7 linked regions of the Coturnix japonica genome follow. The protein of the gene in region 3 interacts with the protein of the main gene of each other region in a pairwise test. Links are inferred from orthologs where the notes say so. Each region holds a gene or a part of one and is shown on either strand. Other genes may lie near its edges.

Region 1 (3,500 bases), on a different chromosome or scaffold from region 3:
CTCCCGTGTGGCTGGGTCGCTGCTGTAGATGGCCGGCACATTGTAGCCCAGCAGACCTGGGTCGATGGCACCCAGCGGCACGTAGAAAGGGTGGTTGCGGTTGCTGGGGGACATGACGTGGGGCCGGGCATATTCGCTGAGTGTGCGCAGGGCCGGGGTGTCGGGGCCCAGGTAGGGGGGCACAGTTGCCACAGCGCTGCCCTGCTCAAAGGAAGGGCGGTGGGGGACGGGCCCCAGGGAGGAGCACTCCACCGGCCGGCCCTCCTGGGCCATCTTCTGCAAGAGAGCAAAGGAATGGCATCAGGATACCTGCGGCCCACCACCAATGTCAGTCTCCAGCATCCTCTGGACTTACCACGCTCCTCTCCAGCTCTCGCTCCTTCTCCCGCTCCCGCTCCTTCTCTCGCTCCCGTTCCCGTTCTCGTTCCTTCTCCTCCCGAGCCTTCTGCTCAGCCTCCCGACGCACCTTCTCCACCAGGTCTGCCCTCTTCTTGGCCAGCTTGGAGCCATCAAGGGGCACAAAGTACAAGTCTGTGCGGGAGCAGGAGTTGAAGCCACGGTCCAGGTGCTTGTTGAATCTGAGGGCATCAAATACAGGGTGTCAGAGCAGAAGGAATGGGGACAGGACAGAGTGGGGATTTCCCTGCTCCTACCTGGCCGACTGGCTGGCGTGGCTTGGCACATCCACCACCTTGGGTGGTGGTGAGGGGCTGCGAGCAGGTGGCACAGGGCTCTCTGGGGGCTCATACTCCTCTGATGGCTCCTGCTTGATCTGGGCAGCGCTGAGAGGCAGTGGTGGGGCTGGGGTGGCTAAGCTCCCTGGCAGTGGTGGGGCAGGTGGGGTGGGTGAGGCGGCCTTGTAGGCACTGGCTACAGGGGAGGATGCTACCCGGTAGCCTGGGGGGGTTGCAGCCCGGAAAGGGGCAGCCGAGGAAGCTGGGGGAGAGCTTGGTTTGTAGGGAGCTGGGGGCTGGAAGGTGGGGATGGGGGAGGCCGCACATTTCCCATATGGGGCCACAGCTGAGGGGGGCATTGGGGGCGAGACGGTCTTGTAGGGGGCCGCAGATGGGGAGGCCATGGTGGTGATGACAGTAGAGACGGTGGTGGCTGCAGAGGTGACTGGAGGGCCAGCCCCGTGGGCTGGGGAGGGGGGTGGCGGCGGGGGGAAGGTGTAGGTGGCAGGACTCTGCCCTGGGGGATGAGCACATATGGAAGGGTAGCTTCCCTGGGAAGAGGTGGAGGAGGAGGAGGAAGAGGAAGAGGAGGAGGAACAGGAGGAGGAGGAGGAAGGGGCTGTAGCAGCTGAGGGAGCCTGGCTGTAAGTGGCCTGGCTGTGGGGGGGGTAGAGGCGCAACCCATATGTGGCATGAGATGGGTGATGGCTGTTGGACTCCAGGGCATGGGGATAACCCCCAGGGGGCTGTGGGGGGGGCGCTGCTACAGCTGGGGAGACCCCCCCACCAGTGCTGTGGCCATGGTGGTGCTGCTGGGGTGGTTGCTGGTGATGAGGAGACTGACCAGGGAAGGAGGCTGGGAGATGGGAGCTGGAATTGCCCAGGGGGCGGTTGTAGGGAGGAGGGGCCTGGCTCCATACAGGCTGTGAGGGTAGGGAGGGCTGGGTGTACTTGGGGGGCTGGCTGGACACCGAAAGGCCGCTGGGCGGGGGGAAGGAGTGCCCATAGGAGGCAGTGTAACTGGGCAGGGGCTGGGTGGGGGAGGGCTGTGGGTACTGAGCAGAAGTGCTCGAGGGTGGCAGCTGCGGAGGTGCATAGGGGTAGCGTGAGGGGGCCAGGGGCTGTGCCTTGTCCTGGCCCATCCCGTGGGGTGATGCCAAGTGCCCGCTCAAGGCCTGCCCCGCCATCCCTGGGGAACTGGAGGAGGCTGCCACGTTGTTCAGTGGGCGTAGGGCCGGTGGGGGTGGCAGGTTGGCTGAGACGTGCGGGAAGGAAGGCGCGGAGGCTGGGGGGGCAGGCGGTGGGTTGGCCGGGGAGGTCTTCTGAGGGGGCAGCCCCCCAACCACCGATGCCAGTGAGATGGGAGTGGTGGGTGGTGGATTGTGCTTCGCGCCGAGGGTCTGCTCGCGACTCCCCACTGCTGAAAGGCCCCCTGCCCCACCAGCAATTTTGGAACCAACTTGAACCACGTTGGCCGTAGGATAGAGAGGAGCATGGGTGGAAGTGGAAGAAGAGGAGGAGGAAGAAGAGCAGGGGGCAGAAGTGGTGGCAACGGCAGAAGAAGAGGAGGCAGGTGTCTGTGGGGCTGGAGCCTGGAAAATGCGGGAGGCCTGGCCCTCCAGCTGGGAGTGGTAGCCACCAGCCGTGGGGCCTTGGGGGTGGGTCTCGCCTGGGAGACTGAAGCCAGGCTCAGTTGGACGGGACAAGCTGTCGGAAGTGGGGGCGACTGGAGGGCTCTGGGGGAAAAGCGGAGGGTGGTGGTAAGAAAGGGATGGGCCCTGGGACAGCACAGAGGAGGAGTCGGAGTCATTCTCCACACTGCCAGGGCTGTAGACGCTGGGTGAGGTGCTCCTGTTATCCTGGTCGATGTCCCGTGGGTCGCTGCTCATCTCATCATTGAAGCTGTGGCCATCGAGGCTGTCAACGTCAGAAGGGGATGGAGGACAGGGTAATTCCTGAAGTAGTGAAAGGAAGGAGAAGTTATGTGACCTCCCAGATCACGCGTGACACTTTTCAATCTCACCTTCCTCTGCTATCCCTAGCATTAGGAAAGCACACTGAGGGAAGGAGGCTTCATTTGGCAGTTCTCTTGCTGCCCTTTGGAATAGCAGCTCAGGTGCTCTTCGGTACTTTATCACACACTTGGAAATGAGATGATGATGGGCATCTCATGTTCAGAAACACAGTAACCACTACAGATGAGGCTGAAACAAGGCACCTACAAGGTCCCGGCACCTGCACTGGTAAAGGGCTGCTGGCCAAGATATGAGCCAGTGCTACCACCAGATGGCACAGCAAGGTGGGGAGGGAGGTAGTGCTGCCCACACAGCCCCCAAACCCACAGTTCTTCCTCATGTAGGGCTTTCCTTGACACCCTGCTCAGCAAGAGACCTGCTTCTTAGACCTCCGGGCCCTGCTCTGAGCGCATCCTTCCTGCCTTACTCCTTACCTTTTGGGGTTCACTCTGTGTTTGCCATTGCTCTCTTGACCTCCCCCCCCAGCTCCGTGGTAATTAATGTGGTCAGTGGTTAAGTTAATGTGGGCAACTAACAATCGAGCCTCAGAGCTTACAAGAGCAGTTCAGCTGATAAAAAGATCAGTGCTGAGCTGAGCAGAGTCCACATGGGGAAATTATGTAGGTGTAACTACAGGTGTCACTTGGGACCTGCCTGCAGAAGAGCTGTAGAGCACAGTCTGATGTGGCAGAGATATCAAGCAAAAAGAATCCCAAGCTAGGCACATGTGAGCAGCACAGGTAGGGTCCAGAATGTACCAGTAACCATAATGGTGAGAACTCACCTCAGTTTTAGTCTTTTTAGGAGCACT
Region 2 (3,500 bases), on a different chromosome or scaffold from region 3:
AGCTGCTGTCTGAAAGAGTCGGCATTATAAGTTTTAGCTCAACCACAAGGGTTATTTCCAGAAATTCAGAAAGGAATAACAAAAAAGAGATGCATTCATGATGATGAAAAGCAGTTTGTTTAAGAAGCTATTACCTTCCTTTGTCATCTTTGCAATTGACAATGCTGGCATCGATGGCTCCGATGAGCATTGATGCACAGTTTTCATGATCGTTGATTCTGCCAAAGACACGTTAGAAAGATAAAAGCTCTACATATTTACTGCTATCCAGTATTCATTTACTTCATTTCCCATTAATAGTTCTTAGTGATTATTTATAATTCATCCCAATATACCTTTTGCCTTAATACTTTTAGTCACAATTCTGACCATTCACCCTGACTTCACTTAACCCAACTGCATCTATTGCTGTGGATTTCCACATGTAAAGCAAAGCTGATCCTTCAATTCCCTATGCACCAGATGAACTGAAACTACAGTACCAAACTAGGATTAGAACCTTAAAACCTTTAAATCCTTTGGTCTAAACAACAATCAGAGCTGAACTGAGAAAGCACTCGGTCATATATACCTACATATAGAGAGATTCACTCTAACGTTTAAGGTCTCAAAACACACGGCTCTTCCAAAACCCACTTTCAATATTTCCCTTGGATGTAACTCAGTACTCTCCTGGTTACTGGCAATTTGTCTTATTTCATAATGAAAATGAACAATATATGGTAACATAATGACATACAATATACGTCTAATATGGCTAAAAGACACACTTGTGTCATCTTAGCAGCAGTTCTGTCCTTTTAAATGTAAGTGCATCTTTCAGTTGCATGTGTTTTGAGGTAGGCTGGAGAATTAGTTATTATGAATTACATACTAGTTTGAAGTAAAATAAAAGCAGTGATTTGTAACGGTTTTTATTTCTCTCATACATGGTTTCTGTTTCATTATGTATGACACCTGGAAACTACCAACATCTCTTTTCTATCTTGCAACAAATGCGGACTGTAGAAAAGAAGTTAACACAATAACTCCCATCGTTACTTCTGGAATATATTAATTCTTCTAATAGTAGGAGGAGTTCATAACTCTGTCATTCTAATAGCCCAGGTCATGGCCTAAGAATGGAAGAGATATGAAATTCCACTCAGTGCCAAATAAAAGCCTGAAGTGATAAGAAAGGGAAAAGAAATTGGAAATGGAGTCGAAATAAAGCTATTTAATGATACATCAGCACTTCATCAGATAGCTCAGATGTATTCAACTTATGCCCAATGTTCCTTATTATGCAACTGCTTTTTCTCAGCAGAAGAACAAGCACCATTTTATGAACCATTTTTAAATGGTTTGCTCATGCAAATTACATAAAGACAGCTTTTTTTCTTGTATCACTACTTTGTCCAGGCGTAACCCATTGCAAAGCATCTGCATTGGTTACAGATTTCTACTTACACAGCACAGTGCAACGGAGAGAAGCTATTACCATAGAATTTGCGGAAAAATTTCTGCTCCAATAGTACCTCTATGCAGTTTTCATGACCTACAAGAGACAGAAATGTCGAGTGTTGCACAAAGCAGGGAATTGACTTATTTCATACCAGGCACAGAAGGATTATGCTTTAACACTTTAAGCACATTAAGGTTGAACATATTGTGAACTTTTATGTGACAGAATTATAAGTGACTGAGAACTTCTCTGTAAGTCACAAAGTCATTGGGAAGCATTGCTGGAAGTTCATTGGCTCCTGAACTGAAGGGTAAACATAGTGAAAACAAACCACAGAGGACAAGTAGGGAGAAATGATCCAACCCTTCATTTCAATCTTCCCAAAGTCTGTCTGCTTTGCTTTCATGCTTCCTCAAAACAGAGGCCGCATTTGAACCTGGCAACAATCCACGGGGATAAACTTACCATTGTAACAAGCCCAGTGCAGTGGTGTATAACCTTGATTATCCTTCAAACTGCAGTCTTCTTCTGAAAGTGCAATCTGCAGTAATTCACTCAGCCAAGTGGCGTGACCCCGAGCTGCTGCGAAGTGCAGAGGTGTTCTACCTCTAGCATCTCTACATAAAATAGATACTTCTTTCTCTAAAAGCATCTGAACGCACTCTTCATGCCCAGTCATAATCTGACAACAAAAAAATAAGTAAAGAGGCTGAAATAAATGCACACTTCTACCTGGGAAACATGGAATACAATTGATGACTGTAAGCATGAAAAAACCTGGATGAGATTCAGATGGCGGAGATGAAATCTCCATTTCTCCCATGGGTACCTGTGATAACTGCTAAACTGAAACATATTTGGCACTGTCTTCCAAAGGCACTGATTAGTAGTTTGTGGAAGAGACTTCTCTAAGCCAGACTCAAAAGCAAGGAGGAGTTTAAGATTAAGGAAATATATGAGCAAAGGGTGAGGCTACAAAACACGAATCCGGCTACTCTAGAAAGAATACAAATGTGCAACAAGAACTGAGGGGAAGATAAAAAGTATTATCAGAAGTATGAAAAGATGCTTTAACAGCTGGGCCTCTGTAACACATATAGTTTAGCTTTGGCACCTTTGTAATGTTCACGTATTGATGTCAAAACAGAACAGCAATTTTACACCATAGCGCTTATTACAAACCAGCATTGGACTCTAAGCTGAATTGCTCACTGCAATAATTACAGAGTTCTGAATAAATAAGATTGATTGCATCAGTTTCAAACTGGATAGGAAGATGGCGTCTAGAAAAGGTCAGATGTGCCTTGAACTTCACTGCTTCTGGATAAAAGTTTAGGGCTAACATTGTTATATTCTGCTACCCAATAAAAAGGATAATAACTGCTGGGCATCCTTTTAAATACACTGTTTTCAAAATTCATGAAGTTCTCAGTTATAGCAATGACTGCTATAGTAAATTGTCTCCACTAATTTTATCTAAGATCCAGTCTTTAATTAATTAATGTGAACAGTCAAAAGCAGAGCAGATTTATCCCAGTTTTTCCCTCACTGGCTGTTTTTGGTCATTTTTTCAATCATCAGCTATATCTCCTACATTAAACATCCCTACGTTTATGTGTTTATGAATGAACTGTGGTGACAAGAAAACAAATGCTTCGAATTTAGAAAAATGAAGTCACCCCTCGATGTAAAGCTGTGCATCCCAGGAGATCTGCTGCATCTACAGATGCTTCTTTTTCAAGTAATAAGGAAACAGCATCAATGTGTCCATATGCCACTGCAAGCATGAGCGGGGTTCTGGAAGGAAAAAAAGAAGTGAAAACAGTTGCATGAAGTTGCTTTTAAGATACCCAACAGCCAGATATCGTGACTGAAAAAGACAAACTCATCTGCGAGCAGTTTAGAGAGCAACATTGCTCCAGACTATTCTTTTCCTTTTAAAAACCTACTATGATTATCATCTCCACAAGTTTTACAATAACATCTCAGATTCAGGGTTCACCTTGAACAAACATTCTGTCTCACTTTATCAGCATCATATACCTGTATACACAGG
Region 3 (3,500 bases):
GTTCAGCATCCGCTTGTAGAAGGGCAGCGTGAAGCCGGTGTCAATGAACTTCCCGTGGTACAGAGCCTAAAGGGTGCGGAGATGGGGATCAGAGGGACCAGGATGGGCTCCTTGCAGACCACGGCTGGACCCACAGCACGGGGCTCGCAACCCCTTCCCCTCCCCACCATGAATTCCACTGCATCTCCATCTCCCGTCGCAGCTCTATTAAGAGCACTTGTTTAAACAGAGTTCTGCCGTGGCTTCCCTGAATCCCTGGCTTCCAGGAGCCCCAAGGCAAAGGCAGCCAAAAATAATGCAGACGCTTGTCTAGAACAGCCCAGCGGTGAGTAATAGTCTGGAGTTTTATTGGGATCCTGCAAGGCGTGGGGCAGGGCAGGGCGCAGCATTTTGGGCAGACCCTGCCCCATCTGGTACCACTGCAGCCCTTTGCCCACCAGGCCCTGGGGAGGGTGAGAACAACAGGAGGAGCCAGGCAGGGGCAGCTGGAAAACCTCACACTGCTGGGGCTAAAAACAGCCCCAGGGCTGCAGAGCTGATAGCACCGGGTGGCAGCCAATAGCCTGGAGGCACAGCCCCAGGAAACTGTGACCCCAGCCTCATGGCCAGCCCCAGCCCTGCAACACGTCACCTCATGCTGCTATGGCCACTCTTCCTCTGGGCACACACTGAGCAAGAAAGTGCTCAGAAAAGGTGACTATGCCAAGCAGGGCTCCCCGGCCCCGGGCTCTTACCATGGCGATGAAGCGTCCGATGAAACGGAAGTAGGTGAGGTGGTCAGGGTTGATGGAGGAGGCGGGGTTGATCTGCAGGCAGTAGTTGTTCTTGCCGGCATACTCGAAGAGGCAGTACATGGGGTTGAGCACCTCGTGGGACAGGAGGAAGAACCACTCCCTGGGCAAGAGGAAGGGAAAAGTGGTGAGCAGACATCAGCACCTGGGTCTGCTATGGGAGGCTTTGTCCCAGCAGTGGGGACAGCCCTGTGCCCATGAAACATGGCTGCACAGACAGTGCCCAGCTCCTTGGGGTGCAGGGCAGGCACTGAGCCCTGCTGAGAGTATTGTGCAGCCCAGGACCCAGCCGCAAAGTGCCTCTGAAGACATCAGTAAGGAAAAACCAGCCTGTCAAACACGTGCACATGTGCCTGTGCACACATGTACAGTGCCCACAAACACCAGCTATCCTTCTCCACAACCCTCTCCCCCCCCCCCCAGTTTCCCACTCAAAGCAGTGCAGAACAGGCGCAGCCCTCACTCTGCTCCCCCACCACTGGCAGTCCTCGGACGCAGAGGCAGCCCCGGCATCCCGTCCGTGGTTCTACCCTGTGGTAGAACAGCATGACGTAACCTACCATAGGGTAAAACCACTGGCAGGACACAGAGAGACACAGGCAGCAGGAGCCCTGCCCACAGCCAGCAGCAGCATCACTGGGAAGGAGGAGGTGGGGAGCACACTGCAGCACGGGTTCTGGGGCAGAAGAGGCAGTGCAAGCCCACCACTAAGCCTTACACCCAAGGCAGGATGGCCAGGGGACAACAGACAGTCCCTCCAGCTGGAGGCACAGCAGAGTGCCACATGGCACCATCCACTGGGTAGATGGTGGAAGCCAGCAGCACCACATTTGCCCTGGCACACACCGCCCGTCTCAAGAAGAAACACCAGTGCCTGTCCTGGAGGGAGAGGAGGCAGCTCAGCCCATCACAGCGCACTGAGGGCTGCTGGACCCCCAGCCCTCCCTGTACAAGGGATCAGGGAGTGCAATAATGCCTTCCCAGAACTCACACTGTTCTCACCTCCTCTCCCTGAGCAGGCACTGGAAGAGGGCCAGGAACCCTGAGCCCTGTTACCAGAAGGCTTCATGCCATGGGGGGCTCACCCAGCCCCACAGCAGACACGTGGCCCCACACTCACCTGGCAATGCCGCCATAGTCCAGGCCCTCCTCACCACGCATGATGATGTAGAGGCGGCGCCGCAGGTCGTAGGGCTTCATGTTCATGATCTACAGGGGGCAAGGAGCACATCACTGTGGGATGCTCAAAGGGGGACAGCCTTGTGCCACCCAGGGCTCTGCCAGCCCTACACCCCCTCACCTGCTGAAAGGAGTCCTCAAAGAGAGTCTGCCGGGAAACACTGATCTTCACATGGCTGGGCAAGGCATTTGACTGCAAGGCACAGACACGAGGCTGTATGGGCTGGCATGGCAGTCCCACATCACCAGCGCACCCATGAGCACCCCCAGCCCTGCAGGCTCAGCAGCCCTCAGCTGCACTACTCACGTGGCAGAGGAAGCGGAATTGGTGGTACTTCCAGCGAAAGCTCCGATCATAAGCACCTGGTGACCCACCCTGCTTGCTCCTGCAAAAGGTCCAGCAGGGGCTCAGGGCACGGCCCAGCATGTGCTGCCATGTCCACAGGTGGGAGCTGCCCCCCACTACATGCAGGGAGCTCTTCTCTACACAGTGCAAGGCCCTACACTCACCCACACCCAATGCTCAGTGCCTCTGCCACAAAGCCCACTTTGCCCACCCTGCACTGTGACCACGCAGGCAGATGAGCTGTGAGTGACCCCAGCCCAGCCCTAAGCACGTACCCAGACTCAAATCCTGGCCGTGGGTCCTTGAAGGTGGTGGTGCGTGTATTGTGGTCCACGAAGTAGCGCACGCCCTCGTTGGTGTATTTCATCTCCCAGCCAGGAGGCAGGGGTGGCTCCTGGATCATCCTGTAGGCAGAGATGGGGTCACCATGTTGCCACCTGAGGGGCGTCTCTCCCTGCTTTGTGTTGCTCTCCCTGGAGACTGCCTTGGATTTTGGCACCTCCAGCACCATGTTTTCCCTTCCGACTCCCCAGTCTATGTGGCTCAGCACCCTCACAACCACTTTTCAGTGCTTGGTGCCCCACCACAAGCATCACCCCCGCTCTTCCCATGGGCTCCTACCCCTGAGTGCGAGGGTCTTCCCACTGCGTGGTCCGCGTGTTGTGGTTCACGTAATACACCCGCGCGTTGTCCTGTCTCTTTTCTAGGAGGAAACAGAGGAAGAGCGATAGCTGGAGCGCAGCAGGCACCAGTGTCCCAGGCTCAGCCCTCCCCTCCCAGTGTTTGTCAGAACCCCCACCCCACCTGCTCTGCCACAGTGCATTTGGAAAAGGAAGAATCAAAAATGAAAATAATTACTTTAAAAATTACATTGTTTTTTCCATGTGCAGAAGCTGCAGTGCCTCTGGAGAAGGCTCAGTGTGCTGGGGACCCCAGGGGCACCCTGCTGGGGGCATGACCCCAAGGATGCTTTTTTGCAGCCCCGCTGCCTGCACACACACACACACACACACACAGCCCCCTCGCTGCTGAGCGCAGCCATAAAACGAACACACTGGTCACACCAGCAGCACTGCTGCCCACTGCTCTGCTTGCTGTGCCCCCATCACCACATGTGCCCCCAGCATAGTCCCACTCCATGCTGGGAGGGACGCTCTGCACGCACTCCCTGCCTCCTCCCTATC
Region 4 (4,290 bases), on a different chromosome or scaffold from region 3:
TGCCCATCTGATGGACACTGCTACGCAGAACAGCCCAATCCACAGCCCTTCTGCAGGAACATCTTCCTGTGTCAGAGTCCAACAACACAGGGACTCAGAAGTGACCTTCTAGTTTGGTGATACAGCTCAGGATCTGCCTTCAGCCCCCTTCTCCACTGCCAGATTTCCCAGCTTTCCAGCTGAGAAGTCAAACCATGTACCTCATTTCAGGCTCTGCAGAAAGGAGAGTTATGTACCTGGGTACTTCTAGAGCACGAACTGACAGCAGTATATTTTGCCTGCAGATTTGTAGTTCAAAGGACTGATTTGAAAGTCAAGTCATCATCGCATAAACCTGGACAGCCAAATAACAGAGCAGAGAACACGGCACTGAAATCTGCTCCAGAAAGGGCTTTCAGTTTCTTTTCTCTCCGTGACCTGGGAGAGACAGCTGTTATTTACCGTTACACTTCTGCCCACAAGAAGCATCGCTGAGCAATAGGCATCAGGGCTGAAATAACCCACATGGCTCTGGATGCAGTAGAACAGTGAGGAAAGTGCTCCAGCAGCCCTGAGCAGCATCAGGGTTGTTCCAGCCAACAAACAGGGCTGCCCATGCTCTGAGAGCAACTTCTTTCCCTCCCACCTGCCCCAAATTAACTCCACACCCAGCTGTCCCAGTGCCAGCTTCCTGTTAGATTCATTATTCTTTGTACACAGGTATTTGATGGTTTACCCAGCAAGTGAGGCACAGCAATTAGGGACATGGACTCCCATTAGCGATATCCCTCGAGGCCCAGAAGTTCTCAGAGGAAGACCTCCATCCTGGCACGGCCATGGGGTGAGTGTGCCCCACTGACGTGGCCCCAGAGGGTCCACATGGGTCACGAAAGGTGAGTCACCATTTGTGACGTTGCTACATGGCCAGCAAGGCCAATTTGTTACTGAACAGCCATTACTGCTGTCAGAGGGCTGGCAAGGAACCAGCGTAGGTGGGAGCATTTATGATCCTAGAAGGTGTGTCTCCATTAAGCTTCCCTATGACCCAAGACTTCCAGCATGTTTGACGAGGCAGAGCGAGCTTTGTTCGCTTGCACTGACCATCCTTTGATAGGGGCAATTTCCAAGAGCCATAAAACAAGGTACCGTGTGAAGTAATCGTCTACAGGCCTGTTTGTGTTTGCTACGTCAGAGCAGTCCAGGAAATAGAAAGCACCATACCTGGGTGCTGTGAGCATGACCCTGCAAAGGGGAAGCACCGCACGCCTTCCCCAGAGAGCTGCTTGTCAGTCCCGGTCACAGGAGCTGTGGGTGAACACAGCACAGAACACAAGCTGGGGAAGCCACCTCCCCTCAGACCCCAACAGAACCACAGGATCATAGAAAAAGGGTTGAAAGGGACCACAATGATCATCCAGATCCAACCCCCTGCTGTGTGCAGGTCACCAACCAGCAGCCCAGGCTGCCCAGAGCCACATCCAGCCTGGCCTTGAATGCCTGCAGGGATGGGGCATCCACAGCCTCCTTGGGCAACCTGTTCCAGTGTGTCACCACCCTCTGGGTGAAAAACTCCCTCCTGATATCCAACCTAAACCCTCCCCTGTCTCAATTTAAAACCATTCCCCCTTGTCCTGTGACTATCAGCCCCACATGCCCAGAAGGCACAGTGTGCCAGAGGCTGACTGACCCCATCACCATCATGTCCAGCTGCCTGCTGCTGTACCCACAGGAGGATGCTCCAACCACCACTCCTCCCATTCTCCTGAAGGTGAGACCAGCCCAGCAGGGAGGGCGCACAGCAAGGAGCCCAGGCACCATGTCTCCACGTGCACTGCTTATCTGGGCCAGTACAGGCACCAGCCGTGGCAAACTGCCACCCCAGCGGTGAAGCCAACACACAGCGAGTGACCTCAGCCCAAAACGGACACTAGAGAAGCTTCTAACAGGGGGAGGCACACCTCGACTCTTGCCTCAATGCATGTGCCGTCTCTCAGAGCCCAGCTCAGGCTCTGCTCGCTACCAAAGCACAGCTGAGCCCACCCAGCAGGGCTGGAGGTCAGCGTGCCCGGCTGCCAATGCCGGCGGTGCAAGGAGCCGCTGGGAGCAGCCGGCGAGGAGACCCACGCGCTTTGCTCGGGAGGGAGTTAAACACCAGACAAGCCTCCACTTGTCCGAGATGCTTCTTTTCCTCCCGAGGAAGCTCCCAAAATCCGCCGTGAGCACTTGGGAGAGGTGCTAAAGAACAGGGGAACCGCGGCGGGGCAGCACGGCCACCTCCCAGCGACGGGAGGCTGCGTTTTAAGCTCTTTGGTTATCATTACCCCCACAGTAACATGTCTCAGGGGCAGAAACGAACAGGAAAACAAAATAACCAGTTCATATTTCCCCCATTACAACACGTGTAACCGCTGCAGACTTCTCCGCAACAAGGTGGCCAACAGCCCACCCCAGGGGCAGGTCCAGACCCCCCTCTATAATGCAACAGGGTGCGGGATGCTCCGGACCAGCTCGGCCCAAAGGCTGCCAGCCCCGAGCCCCGACCACGCAGCGCCGCCGCCCGGGGAGCCCCGTCCCCATCCCCGGGCAGGCCCCGAGCTCACCTCGGTACTGCAGCGAGCCCGACAGCCGCACGGTGACGGTGCCGGCCAGCGGCTCTCCGGGGCTGTAAATGACGCGGCTCTCTCCCAGGCGGATCTCAAACAGCTGCACCTTCCCCATGGCCGCTCCAGCCCCGCTCCGCTCCGCTGCTACCTGCCCTGCCGCTCCGCTCCGTGCTGCTCCGCCGCCCTGCCCCGTCGGGCCGCCCCGCCTCCGCCCGCCCCGGTCCGTGCCGTAGGGTCGGGGCGGGCCCTGAGGGAAGGGGCGGGCGGAGAGGAACGGAGAGGAGGGGGAATGTGGGCGGGGGATGCGGCGGTGGGACACAGGTTGGATGGAGGGATGCGGTTGTGGGGTCGGGATGCGGTTATGGGGTTGGGATGTGAGGGAATTACACGGTTATGGGAGCACAGTGTGAAGGAAAGACGCGATTATGAGGCCAAGCTGGTAGGGAAAGACACGACTATGGGTCCAGATAGAGCTGCAGGGGGGGAACCTAAGACACAGCTATGGGATTGGGCTGTGGGGAAAGGAGCCACTTATGGGGCCAGGCAGCATTGCAGACCCAGTTACGGGTTCAGGCTATGAGGATAAAACCCAACTATAGGTTCAGGATGTGAAGAAAGGACCCAACTGCGGGGTCAGGCTGTGAGGGATGGAGCCAGGTGCCCAGCCCAGGCCCAGCTCCATCTCGCCTCTAATCTGATCTCCCTGTAATTCTCCCTGCCCAGCTGTCTCTCTTCTCCCCCCCTCCTTATTTATTATATCCCCAGTTAGTTCAAGTGTCCAGTGGGAAGCACACAGGCACACAGCATGGGACCAGGGCTGGGAGACAAGCCCAGGGAGCTGCGGGTCAAGCAGCAGACCAGCACCCCACATTGCCCTCTGTATGTCCCCCTTGGTGCTACTTCTGCTGCATGATCCCGTTTCAAAAACTCTGTTAAAATAAAATATAATAATAACAATAAAATAATAAATCACCTTTTCTTTATTCCACAGCAAACACCAAACACGGTGCTGGGGAAAGGCACCTCCCAGAGAGGCCTCCCGGCTGATGACAAGCAGGTTGTGTACACGGGCGGAATGAATAAGCGTAACAAGGGCTGTTTAGCTGTTTATCCGCAGAGCACACACCCAGCAGGACGGCCGGCCCTGCAGTGACACCAGCCCGAGCTGCAGGAGCCTCCCAGGTCCCCTTATGGGGGGTAAAGCCCCACCGAAGGGGTTTGAGCGCTGCATGGGAATGGTTTGTGTATTCTCAGCACACAGGGCTCCTGCTGAGAAGCTCTTCCAGGCCGTTACTCCTCTGCTGCTTAAAAGCTACTTTTTCTTTCCAGCCTGTGCATCATCACAGGAGACGAACACCCTGATGGGCTCGTGCCAACAATTTATGTAGCTCATCTCCTCCTGCGGCGCTCACCCTCAGATGCTTCCATACACCGCTCTCCTTGCGCTGCCCTTTTAGCTTTTGTTTTGCCACTTTTCTCTCCTGTCCTTCTGTAAGATGAACCCGCATCCTCTGTCATCAGCCCCCGCAGCTCAGCTCCCTCCCAGTCTCTCCAGGTGACATTGCCAGCATAGAAACAACCAACCAACACAAGCAGGTGAGGGGCAGCAGAATCACCCTGTGCTACATCAGGCTTTGCTGAACCCATTGCCTCCTCATGGAATACATCTGAAGACCCAGAGCTCTGCACTGCCACACTCCTGTTGCAC
Region 5 (4,042 bases), on a different chromosome or scaffold from region 3:
ATTTGCTGGTTCCATCAAGAACACCAACCTTCGGTTGCGGTCACCATTTCTTGTACTGCTTTAAACCCCACCACGGGTTTGTGGTTTATTCGGGTATCATTACCATTAAACTAAAAAATAAATAAAAATTAAAAATGCTGACTCCAGCAAAATCGGAAGTTGGGAGAAAAACAGCCGAGATCACCTCCTACCCATAAGGGCTGGGATACCGACAGGTACCGCTATGGTTTGGGCACAACCGCTTAATGCCAGCGGCTGGAGGCACTAATGGAGGCACAAAGGGACATTTTAGGCTCCCACTGTGCTACAAAGATATGGTGTGGCAAAGAAACGGGCACACGGCAACCTGGGGTGGTGAAAGGAATCTTGAAGAACTGCTTAAAAATGCAACAGAACAGCGAGAAACAGGCGGAGATGCATTCACACAAATGCACCTCCAGCTCGCCGCGACTGAAGGAGAACCAGTTAAGCGCTGCTAAGGGGCGATGCGATGGCTGCGGGCGGCTTTCTCGTCCTTTTATTGTTATCCCGCAGGTTTTCGCCCCGCACACCGCCCCGGCCCCGTCCTGCCAGCTCAGCAGTCCCGCCGAGCCGGGCGGCCGCGGCGGAGCCGTGGTAAACAAGTGCTGAGCTGTCAATCAGCGGCCCGGCTGGAGCAGGAGAGGACCGGCCTAAACCGGCGCGAGCAGATCGCAGCCAGCCTTGCATATACATACAGTATACATTACACTCGCCGCAGTCGCTCGGCAGCTCCGCTCGCCGCCCAGGGGGGAGGAGGGAAAGCGGGGGCGGGGAGAGAGGAGGGAGAGGAGCCGCCCGCGTCCTGCTCGCCCCGCCGGCCGCCCCGCTACGTGCCGACACGCAGCGCTGGACCCTCCGGGGTGCTCGCGGACACCGCTGTGGGGTGGCGGTCGGGGTGCGGAGGACCAGAAGCTGAACCCGAACGGTGGGGAAAGCGCTGAGTCCCCCTACGGCCGCCCTGCCCCAACCCCGAGGCTGCCCGGACCCTCGGCCCCTCGTCCCCCCGCCGCAAGCCGGCTGCGGGCAGGGGGACCCGCGCCCTCACGGTGCCGGCCAATCAGCGGCTGGCATCGCCTTAGCAACAGGCCAACAAACCGCGGCCGGCCAATCGGAGGCGCGAGGGGGCGTGGCCTCGGCCGCCAGCTGCGGGGCGAGGCGTGAGGCACAGTCAGTCATTGAAACTCGGCCGCAGGGCCGCAGCGCGCCGGGCATCGCCCGGGTGGGGGCTGCTCGATCGGCATTGCGGAGCACCCCGCGATGTCCTTCGGGCTGAGCTATACGCATGGCCGCACGGGCACGGCCGGAGGCTGCGGTCACCTTCACGGACTTTGGTACGGGGGAATTGTTTGTGAGGAAGACAGCTCGGTGGGAGCTGGATGCATGCGATAGCGATGTTCAAATATAGCTGAGCTCTGACTCCCAAGTTCGGTAGTATCGATAGATGTTTAGGAAACGTCTAACAACAACGCAGCCTGCAGGGAAACTCATCCAAAAATCCCCAAAGAAAACGGGAATATTCCCTCAGTGCACCTCACAATGCAGTAGGTATGCAGCATGTTGAAGGAGAAAAAGGGGAGAAAAAAAAAGCCAAAAAAAAAAAAAAAAAAAGCGGCCCTGAATTACATAACCAGTTTTAACATTATTTTCCTGTGCTAGGAATTAAGTCATCGCCACCACCTGACGCGCGCAGCCAATCTGCAGCGCCGAGCGGGAGCACCCCCCCCCCCTCTGCCCAGGACCGGTCCCAAACAGGATTGAACCGCTTCTAACAAAGGGTGGAAACTTCGCAAAAACAAGCGCTGAGTCCGCCGGACCGCCGCGATGCGGGCGTGGGGAGGGCGACACGGGGCCCGGGGAGGGGGCTCCGGTGGGGGGGGAATAGAAAGGGGTACAGAAGGAAGGGCACGAGCGGACAGCGGGCTGAAATCCGAGCGTGTGTGCGGGAACGGCGGCCCAGTGCTGGAAACAGTCGCATCATCGGCCGCAGAGCTGCCGCCTGTCAGAGGGCCGAGCCCGGCGGAACGCGGCTCCCGGCTGACACGGGGCTCCCGCTCCTGGCCGGGTTGCGGTGCCCCACGCTGCCCCCTCCATCCCCCACCGCTCTCCGTCCCCGCGGCGCCCCGGCTGCTCTCGCAGGTGACACAAAACCGGTTATAAGCAGAAAATAACACCCCCCAAAAGCCGTGAGACCCCACCGCGCCGCGCGGCTCACCTCTCTCGTGGCCGATGAGGACGTCCTTGTGGTTGAAGTACTCCACCTCCTCCGTGTAGTTCTGCGTGTAGGCAGTGTTGGAACCGGCGTTCCTCGACTCGGTCCAGCGCACCTTGGCGTGCCCGCGAGCGTGGATTTTGAGCGATTTCACTCTGATCTCCCCCGTCACTTCTAAATTGACCCTTCCTGAGACCGTGTCCCCGCTGGAGTAGACGGGGACGTTGCTGTCATTGAGACAGTCAAAGCTTATTGTCAAACTCTTCACCTTCCCCAGCACCATGTTTTATAGCAAAGCGTAGAAAAAAATATAATCAAAAAAAAAAAAAAAAAAGAACTGACTGTAAGAAAGCGGAAAAAGAAAAAAAAAAAAAGCAAAAAAAAAAAGCCTTAAGCAAAAAGCGACCCTCGCCGCACACCGACCCTCGCCGACCTACAGCCCCAGCATGGGGAAGTGAGAGCCGGCGGGCTGGGGCGGCCCCGGCCCTGCCGCGGATGCCGGCGCTCCGCAGCGCTCAGAGCGCTCGGCTGCCCGGCGCTGCGCTCCGCTCCGCTCACAATGACGGTGCCGGAGCGCTGCCACCTCACTATAAGCGCTGTGACAAACAACCCCCCCTACACGAACTCTACACGCTCACGCATGCGCCGCAAGAGCGGTGCCGTCCCGCCCTCTGCCCGCCCCACTGCCCGCCCCCAGCTCCCGGAGGCATCGCGGGCCGCTTCTCGGAGCTCCCGGAGAGCTGCGTTGTAAAGCGTATTATGTATTTGCCCGCTGTCTGCGGTAAGAAGTCACCCTCGGCCCAGCACCTGGCTGGGGAGCTCTGTGCCTAACTTCAAACAGTCAGCTTTTACCGCTGCCCTTGTGCTGGGACCATCTGTCTGTGTGCACCACCGTGCGGCACGTGGGTGCATCGACGGGAACCTGCGGAGGGGCGGGGTGCCGGGCAGCCCTGCCGGTTCCACCCGGTTCTGCCTTCCTTGTCGCAAAGACTTGGGGAGATGCAGCTCTTCCCTTGTGTCTATTAACGCTGAAAGACCCCACTTTGGTTAACAGGCACCCACGTGGATTTATTCCTTTTGTACACATGTTGATAAGGAGGGGAGCTGCTTACAGTGATAAGGCACATTCTCCTTTATTTCCTGTATCTTTTTATCGTATGTACGCACATCACTCTAAAAGTAGTGCCTCCCATTTATTTCAGTTGCAACTACAACAGAGAGCACAGTAACACTATTTATAGAAGGAATTCTCAGGTGCAAAACACAGTCACCATCATTAGCTGTGCATTTTCAGCAGCCATGACCAACAGCCTGCACACCACGCTCCTAACAATCTGCATCAGCAGGGGTGACCCACTGTTGCTGTCACCACTGCTGAAATGCACCACCCAGCACCTCACTGTGCTCACATCCACTGTTTGGTGTCCATCAGCATTCAGCAAGTGTCAGTGAATGTCAGTGAGTGCCACTTCTGTGTGCAGGAATAAAGTGACACACCTTTGCTTCATTAACACTTTCATGTCAGACACCATTGTGTCAGACTGTCCCTCTGCTGCCATCTGTTGCGCAGCAATAAAGCATAACAGAATTTTGGTGGGAAAGTTCAGTTGCTGCTGCCAGACCACCAATATCCTTCTCTGATGTTGTGGGCCAACATAATAAAATAGGAAACACAGCTTTGGAGGCAGTCCTCATAATTCACTTTTCCCATTCTAGGCTTGTTGGTGAAGTTGCCGTTAAATCTGCAGAGCTTGTGGTCCCAGTTTGCCTCCCCTCTCCTTAAGACTGCTGTCTTTGGCCATACCATTTCTG
Region 6 (4,292 bases), on a different chromosome or scaffold from region 3:
CATCCAGACGTACGTTTCGAGCCATTGAATCCAGAAGGTTTTTAGTGGCTCCCGTCTCAGCAAAACTACCAGGGGCAGAAATAAGGAAGGCATGAAGGTTCTCAGGTGTCCGATCGCTCAGCACAGCCAAGTACAGCCTCACCACCTCCTGATTAACGTAGCCAGGAGCCAGCCTGGCATAGAAGACACGAAGGTTTTGGTAGTGAGGCACATTGCTCTCGCCCACCATTAGCTGTCCAGACAGCATCAAACCTTCTCGTGAGCGATCAAGGATCTCAAAATAAAGCAGCAGTTTCTCAAGGCTAGTGCAGCACGGCACAACGCCGTATGATGGAGTGTAAAGGGTTTGCTTCAACTCTGACACACGGCTGAGGGTGGCTTTGCACTCACTGCTGAGCTGACTGGCATCAAAGCCCGGGTTCACGTCTATGGCCAGGGACCGCAGGTGCTGCAGCATGGACAGCATCTTGGAGAGACGCAGAGAGGTGATACGGCACCCGGACAAGTTCAGCTTGACCAGGTTCTTGCACCGTGTTACGTGGTCAGTAGTGGAGCTGGGCAGCCAGTAGCACCCAGCCATGTTCAGCTGGTAAATCTCTTTCCCGATATCCCTCATCAGTTGCTTCACTTTGTCTTTGTTCACCTGAACCCAAACAAAACCAGATTCAATGAGACATAAGGCAGTAGCATGCAATGACTCAGTTTCCCATCTGAAGATGGGTACAGCACTGGTTAGCTCTCACCTTTCATAGCTCATCTAAGGGCCTCGGATCACTAACACATGCCTCATTAAAGCACGGCTTTGTCAGCCAAGCTTTGGACTCTAAGATTAGAATTCCTTCAGTTTCTTAGGCTGTGCAGTTCTGCAGTACCAACTGAGGGGCTAAATCTGTCCTCCATCCCGTCAGTTGCTGAACATCATCCACCTTCCAACAGCTAAACTACTTCAGGAATAACTGAAACCAGCTGAACCAGCCCATAGCAGCACAAGCTAAAAGAATCCTTTCATTCCCCTTCATCCTCTTTCTTCTGGAAACAAATAAGAGAGGCTTCTCTTTGACTCCAGCCTGGGGATGCAGCCTTCATATTATGCTTCACCCCTAAGCTTTATTTTTGTTACAAAAAGTGCACATTTACTGAATGAGCTGACTGCGTGTCTGACAAATTCATTTGTACAACACAGTAAATACACCTGGGGAACGTTACAGCTTCATACAACCACAAAAGGCAGCTGCAAATGGAAAGTGGCATTTACGTTCATTTTAGCTTCCATAGACCCAGTGAAGTCACATAAAATACCACCAGTGAAAACTAAGGAAGCACAGAGCTGTTTTAATAAAGCATTCCACAAGTCAGGTGTCTTCTCATAGCTAGCAGAAGCAGCAAGATATTCATCCCACCTTATAGTCCTTCTGAAGTAAAACTGTGTGGGTCAGACTCTTGTCGAGGCAAAGTGTTGCGAGCTTCCTGCAGGTCTTCCTGACATTCAGGACCAGGTCTGTGCAAGGGACGTAACTTAGGATGTGCAGAAGGATCTCATCTGAGAACTCCATCAAATTGATCCCGTTACTTTCCTCCTCGTTCTCCCCACTCACAGGATCCTAAAAGAAATAAGAAGAGGGGGGGGAAAGAAAAGAGGGGGGAAGACAAAGAAAAGCAACCAGCTCAAAGACTGCAGCAAAACTTATGAGAAAAGAGATACTGTGAGCATCAGAGGGATTTGTGGAGTGAGACAGGGGAAAAACAGAACACGAACCACCTGCCTTCGCCCTTAAGAGACAACAGGGAGGTACTGCAAAGCTTCACACAAAGCCATGGCAGCTTCAGCACATGAATAAAGATCTTTATGCTCATTTCCCTTTGCAATTGGAAGCTGTGGCCCTCAGTGCAGCAGGCAGATCCTTTCCACGTTTTTCCTCTACGAGGAGCCCATCCCAATAACCTCACAAATTATGTAACCGTTTACATGCTAAAAAAAAACCCCTCTGCAGCCCAACATCACACACTGCCCACAGCCATCCACAGGGGGCTCACACTGCGGCCATGGGCATCAAGGGCTCCTCGGGATGGGTGCAGCCCCCCAGCAGCAATACACCCTATGATATAACCTCTGTTATACCCTCTGATATAACCTCTGATATACCCTCCGATATACCCTCCGATACAACTTCTGTTATACCCTCTGATATACCCTGTTATACCCTGATACCTCCTCTGATATAACTTCTGTTATACCCTGATATAACCTCTGTTATACCCTGTTATACCCTCTGATATCCCCTCTGTTATACCCTCTGATACACCCTCTGATACACCCTGTTATACCCCCTGCTCCAGTGCTAACCCTGGTGCACACAGTCCCCCATCCCACTCCCCATTACCAGCCGGGGGTTCTGGAGGCAGCTGGGCCTTCATCCATCTTTAACGGAGCCGAATCACGGCCCGTTAACGCCGTGCCACCCCCAAAGGAACGGGGCCCTCCCGCCCCACACAACCGACGGGGGTTCACCCCACCACAGGACCCGCTGGGCTGCACCCTCCGCCATCCCAGCCGCTCGCCCCGCCGGCTCCTCCCCGAGGGGTCGGTGTCCCCCATGCAGACCCGCACGGCCGCACATCTCACCTGTGCACAGCACGACATGGCGGCAGCCCCGGGGTCCCGCCGCTCCCGGCTCACTCCAGCCGCCCCCCGGCCCCGCTCCGTTCCGCCGCTCGGCTCTTCCGGCGCGGCCATGACCCGGCTTCCGCGCCTCGCTACACTTCCGCCGTCGCCATCTTGAGCGTGGCAGGGTGAAGCGGAAGTGATGGAGCGGCCGCTGAGCGACGCCATCATGAGAGCGGCGGCGCCGCCATGTTGGGGGTGGTGGCCTGTATTTGTGCTTCAAAGTCTGTGAACGAGATCTTAACCTCAGCCCTGAGGAGCAGGACGGCTTCATTCATTGCATCGATACTCGCTTTTCTGTCAAGTTTCGGTTAAACATTAGATAATGACACTCAGGGCTGCTTTGTTTGACATTAAGATGAATACCAACCTACCAGACTTGCAGTATGAAAGCAGAGACCAGGGTGGAGGAGACTTGCATTTCAATTGCAAATGTAAATAAAGCCATAAGCAGAGCCCACAAGCAGCATCAAAGCCCAGGGCTGGGTCAGCTGCAGCAGCCAGTGTGAGGGTTAGCCATGGTTCCCTGCCATCATGGGCTGCATGTGGACCAGGCTGCACTTACCAACCCCAAAGTAAAGCTGGAGCTCCTGTGAAATGGCATCAGTTCAGTGCTGGTCTGTCTCCAAGCAGACTTTGATCACAATATGACTCATAGAGCTTTCCTAGCCCAAAGAAGGCAAACTCACACCACACTGTCCAGGTCCAGGAGGGCAAACAAACAAATCTGCTGGTAGCATCAAGATATTGTGTTCTGTACAACAACTCTGAACAGTTCATGGCCGGGCAGCCCTGAGGATTTATTATTCTTTTTTCCTGGGAAACTCTTAAGTCATTTCTCTCCCACAGTTCTTCTTAACAGCTCATCTTTTTGTCAGTGTAACAAAGCTCAGTGGTCAGAACGCTTTGTGTGCTTGGGCACACTGCTATCTCTGCAGCTGTAAGTGGGTTTGGGTGCTTGATACGATTTAATACAGTAAGGCCTGCTAAAGTAGATTACAGATGGGTATAACAGAAGCCGGGGCAGGCTTGAGGTCAGCATTCCCTCTGCAGAGCACAACTTCAAAGAGCAGGGCTCCTCCTCCTCCAGCCAGCGTCTCATCCATGAACTGACACCAAGAAAAGCCCGTTTTCTGAACCCATCCCTTTGTGCCCTCAGAGGGGACTTCCACAAGGAAGCCAGATGTGTTTGAATGTCCTGGGACTCCTTGGGACATTTGCACGCTGCCAGTGCCCTCCAACAAGAGGATGGGATCCCCCCAACAGCCAGGGGCCATTTTTGGTCAGTGCTCCCTGACAAAGCTCGAGGCAGCCACACAAGGAGGCCCTTCAGGGGTAAATCCTGAGAGCCGCAGCCGTCTCCTTTGCCAAGGACATCACTAATTCCTGGCGGTGGCTTGATTCCGTAAGCAGCTCAGCGAGGTGACTTTCCAGGTCACCAGCTAATTGCAGGTGAAGTGCCAGCGACTGTCTCCAGCAGGAGCGAAAGTTGGGAGCTCTGAGGGAAGAAAAGGAATAAAACATGTTTGCTCAGCTCCATTCAGCTGAGCCAGTTCCCCCTGGGCAGTTAAAGGGAGGGGAGTAAAGGGCTGGGTGGTATACAACAGTCTGTGTCTGATCCCTGCCATCC
Region 7 (3,500 bases), on a different chromosome or scaffold from region 3:
GTAAATACTGTTCTGCAATGGTTTGAGGTAGATGATGGGTTTTAGTAAGGTTTAGGGAGAGAAAGCACTCTGGAAGCTTTCCAGTATGTGTCTGTAACTAGATTTCATCAGAACAAGGAAGCATTTAAGAAAATGAACATAATGGTCAATTGCCCAACTACACTAAGCAGAGGTGCTGAGACCTTTGGCCATGTGCAGCCCTCCACACCCTCTGCATGGCCTTTTCCTGTCCAAGCTGTGGATTTCTCTCCGGTCTCAATTTACTGCTGCACTGGGAGCATCACTTTCCTAGCCTGTGTGGGCTCTGCCTTCACGTTGCCCTGCAGAGCTTTTCTGCTTCGCTGTGAAGCTGGGAGTTGGTGAGGTATGGCCTGGCTCCTCAGTTCACAGAGCTCCTGCAGTAACTGCTCATTGAGGCCATTGTGATTTAGAGTGGTTTGATATTGGCTTCATGGGCCAGCACCTCTGCAGAGCTGCTGCAGCTGAGGGGGGCAGGAATACGTGTGCTGAGGTGTGTTTGTGTTTGAATATTCCTGCTCCTCTGACCTCTGCAGGTTGTAGGCTCCCCATCAAGCCCTGGGAGCAGGGAGGTGGAACTGGGGTCTGCTCTTCCCAGGGCCCGAAGTGGTCCACACTATTAGTGGGAGGCCATGGGACATGGGCAACGGTGTAACACCACAGAGCAATTTGGGGCAAACAGCATTTTTGTGCTTGTCTCTATTCTCTCTCCAGGCCCCCTGCCACCACCACCTCCCCTCAGCAGGAATGGAAGCACTTCGAGGGCTTTACCTGCTGCTCCCCAGCTGCCTTCCCGGGCTGGGCTGGAGAACCACAGGGGTGGGCCTCGGCCACCACTTCCCCCGGACCGGCCGGGAACAGGCGCTCCACCACCACCCCCACCACCTTCATCAGCGCTCCGGAATGGCTTCCAGGACTCGGGCGACGGTAAGCTGTGCTCCCAGCTACTTGCCCTCATAGAGGTTTTGTAGCTGCTCTTGGCCTTATCGTGACTAAAAGGGTGGGGCAGAGGATAGAACAGGACTGCAAAACTGTCAGTATAGGCTTTAAAATGTTCCTTTGAAATATAGCCTGAAAAGGAAGAAAGCAAAAAAAAAAGGAAAAAGAAACACTTTTCCATACTTAGCTTTGCTAAAGTGCATGAAGAAGTCCTAAGGGGACTGTACTGGCTGCAATGTGAATTCAATCCATAGCTACACTAAGGCTGTTTGTAAGTCAGAACAAGTTAGATGATTACTCAAAAACTGTAAGCTGAAAGAAAGAGAAGAGGTTGTCAGAATTCAAAGATGTCAAGTTTCGCTCTTCTTGCTGGTGTTATTGAAAAAGTGAGGTTTAAGATCGCTGAGTTTTAAAGATTTATTATGCTTTTCTTTTGGGTTGTTGTCTCTTTGCAAAGGATGGATAAATCTTTTGGTTAATTATGCTAGGCTGAAGCCTAAATGGCTTGCAGGATTCAGAGCCTTCAGTGCCTTTACATGCTGGTTTCTAGTTGTAACCACTGGGAATTAACATATTAAAACTGAATCCCAACAAATAACCTAGTAGGATGCTGGTTCAGTATTCAGCTATCACAGCAGTTTGCAATAGAAGACATGCAAGAAATTTGATATTAGTATCAGTTGATTTTTTCTGAACCTGTATCACACAACCAACAAGTAAAACACATCGTGTTCTGTTTTGTTTTATGTGTTTTTGTCGCTCTTTCAGATGAGTGGGAAAGTAGATTTTCTTTCCATCCTATATCTGATTTGCCACCTCCAGAGCCATATGTACCTGTGAATAGAAGTTACCCCAGTAAACTAGCAAGAAATGAAAACCGAGGTAAGTTTCTTCCGCCTCTGGTTCTGGAATTTAAGCATATCTTTTGTAGAACCAGTGTAGATGGGGAAGAGATTGGCTTCTGAGGTTTCAGAACTTCTCCAAGTGCATTTTTCCCCTCCACCATGTAGAAAATACAGGTTCAAGCCCTTTTGAACTTGTACTACAGAGTGGGATGGGAGGAGGATTGTTTTGTTCCTAAGTTGTGACCTGTATTGTAAGATACTGCTTTGGCCATAACATTCAGCCCCATTCTGCTACAGGCAGCCAGAGCTGCAAAATCCCAGCTTCATCTTTGATTTTTGTTTGTCTGGTTTTGTCCCTGTTACTTCTCTTGGAACTCTCTTCTAGAACTTCTTTCTCATTCCCCATCTAAATCTATGCATGACTCATTTATTTGTGTGCCAAAATTGTCCTTGAGTTTTAGTTTTCTTCCTTGTTGGTGTGTTGAGCCCCTGCTATATTTTTTTTTAAGACAAGTCATACTCTCCTCTCAGCTTTTGGTTTGCTGAGCTCATTATATCAGGAAGTATTACACTCTTCTTCCAGGCTAAATTCTGTTTCTCTGATCATTGATGTTGCTGCTGTATACATTTCAGCCTGATTTCATCTTTTTGGATCAGTGTTACATGCTGTTCCAGTTGAGGTCTCAGGCATTCCATTAGTTAGCGCCATTTGGCCTGGTACACCCAAGGATTAATTCAGTTCTTTCACAATAGGTCAAATCAGTCCTCATAGTTATCCTGTAATCATCTGTACACTCACATGTTTCTCTGTCTGTCTTGTTTCCAAATTATGAGGTTTTGGTGTGGAGCAGAAATTCCTGTTAGTCTCTGACCCTTCTGTTTGTCTCTTACCTTTCTTCTCATTCGTATTACCCCGCAAAGAGAGTCAAAGAAATCAGTTTTGAATGACAATCTTCATTTTGGGAAATACAGGACGAGCTTCAAAACATTACTACTAGAGCTTGCTGCTTTCATTAAAATGTACATGTGTTGCAAGTAGCATTGAGACCATATGTGTTTATATAGTAAGAGTGACTGATCTGCTTTGAAAAGGCAGTAAAGGACTGAAATGCTAATAGTTTCTAGGCATTTGTAGATAATGGTAGTTACAAACTTAATTTTACATTGTTTGAAGTTCTTGCGTTGTTTAGTAAACTAATCAGAAAGTCTAGAAAGATATTTTCTAGATGGCTAGACAAGGTAATGAATAGATCTTCTGGCTTGGATGTAAACACCCACTATAAAAAGAACCGAAGAATAATGGAAAACTTTCTTCTTTTTTCAGGAGGCTCTGGTCGAAAAGAAAGAGGTGTCCCCCCACTTCCACCTATACCAAGGTGAAGTGGGTTCTGGCCCATTTTTGGGCAACCTGTGTTTTACAAGGTTTCCTTCGAGTCAGCTCTCCTGCCCACGTTGTTGGAAAGTTGTCTGTTTTGCTCTACTTCCACTTTTGGCTTGTCAGCTGGAATAAACTTTGGTCTATTACAAAAGTAATAGACAAAGCTTATGAACTGTAGTTGCTCAAAGCTATAAATTTTGTTTGCTTATACTGCAGGCTGTCCTGAAAGGCGTTTTATGGACCATGCCCGACATTTGTGCATCATACTTACCGGGTCCAGCCCTGTCCTCTTGAGAGTTCCACAGAGGTCTGGCTTTGAA

Evidence for each region.
Region 1: the proteins of WWP2 (region 3) and ATN1 interact in a two-hybrid assay, tested with the Homo sapiens proteins (2 studies listed by BioGRID and IntAct). The link is inferred for Coturnix japonica from reciprocal best matches to the Homo sapiens genes WWP2 and ATN1.
Region 2: the proteins of WWP2 (region 3) and ANKRD44 interact in binary tests that used the Homo sapiens proteins (3 or more experiments, as listed by UniProt). The two-hybrid records come from large-scale screens. The link is inferred for Coturnix japonica from reciprocal best matches to the Homo sapiens genes WWP2 and ANKRD44.
Region 4: the proteins of WWP2 (region 3) and ARRDC1 interact in binary tests that used the Homo sapiens proteins (3 or more experiments, as listed by UniProt). The link is inferred for Coturnix japonica from reciprocal best matches to the Homo sapiens genes WWP2 and ARRDC1.
Region 5: the proteins of WWP2 (region 3) and ARRDC3 interact in binary tests that used the Homo sapiens proteins (3 or more experiments, as listed by UniProt). The link is inferred for Coturnix japonica from reciprocal best matches to the Homo sapiens genes WWP2 and ARRDC3.
Region 6: the proteins of WWP2 (region 3) and FBXL18 interact in a two-hybrid assay, tested with the Homo sapiens proteins (3 studies listed by BioGRID and IntAct). The link is inferred for Coturnix japonica from reciprocal best matches to the Homo sapiens genes WWP2 and FBXL18.
Region 7: the proteins of WWP2 (region 3) and WIPF1 interact in binary tests that used the Homo sapiens proteins (3 or more experiments, as listed by UniProt). The two-hybrid records come from large-scale screens. The link is inferred for Coturnix japonica from reciprocal best matches to the Homo sapiens genes WWP2 and WIPF1.

What each region holds. Positions count from the first base shown.
Region 1 is NC_029516.1:69,591,290-69,594,789, reverse strand, and holds part of ATN1 (atrophin-1), read right to left. Parts: coding exon 3,474-3,500; intron 2,630-3,473; coding exon 654-2,629; intron 579-653; coding exon 356-578; intron 277-355; coding exon 1-276. UniProt on the Homo sapiens protein: Transcriptional corepressor. Recruits NR2E1 to repress transcription. Promotes vascular smooth cell (VSMC) migration and orientation. Corepressor of MTG8 transcriptional repression.
Region 2 is NC_029522.1:128,324-131,823, reverse strand, and holds part of ANKRD44 (serine/threonine-protein phosphatase 6 regulatory ankyrin repeat subunit B), read right to left. Parts: intron 3,242-3,500; coding exon 3,124-3,241; intron 2,127-3,123; coding exon 1,910-2,126; intron 1,538-1,909; coding exon 1,450-1,537; intron 219-1,449; coding exon 135-218; intron 1-134. UniProt on the Homo sapiens protein: Putative regulatory subunit of protein phosphatase 6 (PP6) that may be involved in the recognition of phosphoprotein substrates.
Region 3 is NC_029526.1:17,007,385-17,010,884, reverse strand, and holds part of WWP2 (NEDD4-like E3 ubiquitin-protein ligase WWP2), read right to left. Parts: intron 3,020-3,500; coding exon 2,938-3,019; intron 2,721-2,937; coding exon 2,592-2,720; intron 2,357-2,591; coding exon 2,278-2,356; intron 2,164-2,277; coding exon 2,092-2,163; intron 2,001-2,091; coding exon 1,912-2,000; intron 895-1,911; coding exon 735-894; intron 67-734; coding exon 1-66. UniProt on the Homo sapiens protein: E3 ubiquitin-protein ligase which accepts ubiquitin from an E2 ubiquitin-conjugating enzyme in the form of a thioester and then directly transfers the ubiquitin to targeted substrates.
Region 4 is NC_029532.1:1,142,514-1,146,803, reverse strand, and holds the start of ARRDC1 (arrestin domain-containing protein 1), read right to left. Parts: upstream 2,801-4,290; 5' UTR 2,698-2,800; coding exon 2,580-2,697; intron 762-2,579; exon of another isoform or gene 747-761; coding exon of another isoform or gene 716-746; intron 1-715. UniProt on the Homo sapiens protein: Functions as an adapter recruiting ubiquitin-protein ligases to their specific substrates. Through an ubiquitination-dependent mechanism plays for instance a role in the incorporation of SLC11A2 into extracellular vesicles.
Region 5 is NC_029547.1:52,949,491-52,953,532, reverse strand, and holds the start of ARRDC3 (arrestin domain-containing protein 3), read right to left. Parts: upstream 2,801-4,042; 5' UTR 2,514-2,800; coding exon 2,234-2,513; intron 570-2,233; exon of another isoform or gene 48-569; coding exon of another isoform or gene 29-47; intron 1-28. UniProt on the Homo sapiens protein: Adapter protein that plays a role in regulating cell-surface expression of adrenergic receptors and probably also other G protein-coupled receptors.
Region 6 is NC_029529.1:4,224,774-4,229,065, forward strand, and holds the start of FBXL18 (F-box/LRR-repeat protein 18), read right to left. Parts: upstream 2,801-4,292; 5' UTR 2,735-2,800; coding exon 2,624-2,734; intron 2,541-2,623; exon of another isoform or gene 2,382-2,540; intron 1,602-2,381; coding exon 1,401-1,601; intron 644-1,400; coding exon 1-643. UniProt on the Homo sapiens protein: Substrate-recognition component of the SCF (SKP1-CUL1-F-box protein)-type E3 ubiquitin ligase complex.
Region 7 is NC_029522.1:15,026,708-15,030,207, forward strand, and holds part of WIPF1 (WAS/WASL-interacting protein family member 1), read left to right. Parts: intron 1-732; coding exon 733-945; intron 946-1,725; coding exon 1,726-1,839; intron 1,840-3,126; coding exon 3,127-3,182; 3' UTR 3,183-3,500. UniProt on the Homo sapiens protein: Plays a role in the reorganization of the actin cytoskeleton. Contributes with NCK1 and GRB2 in the recruitment and activation of WASL.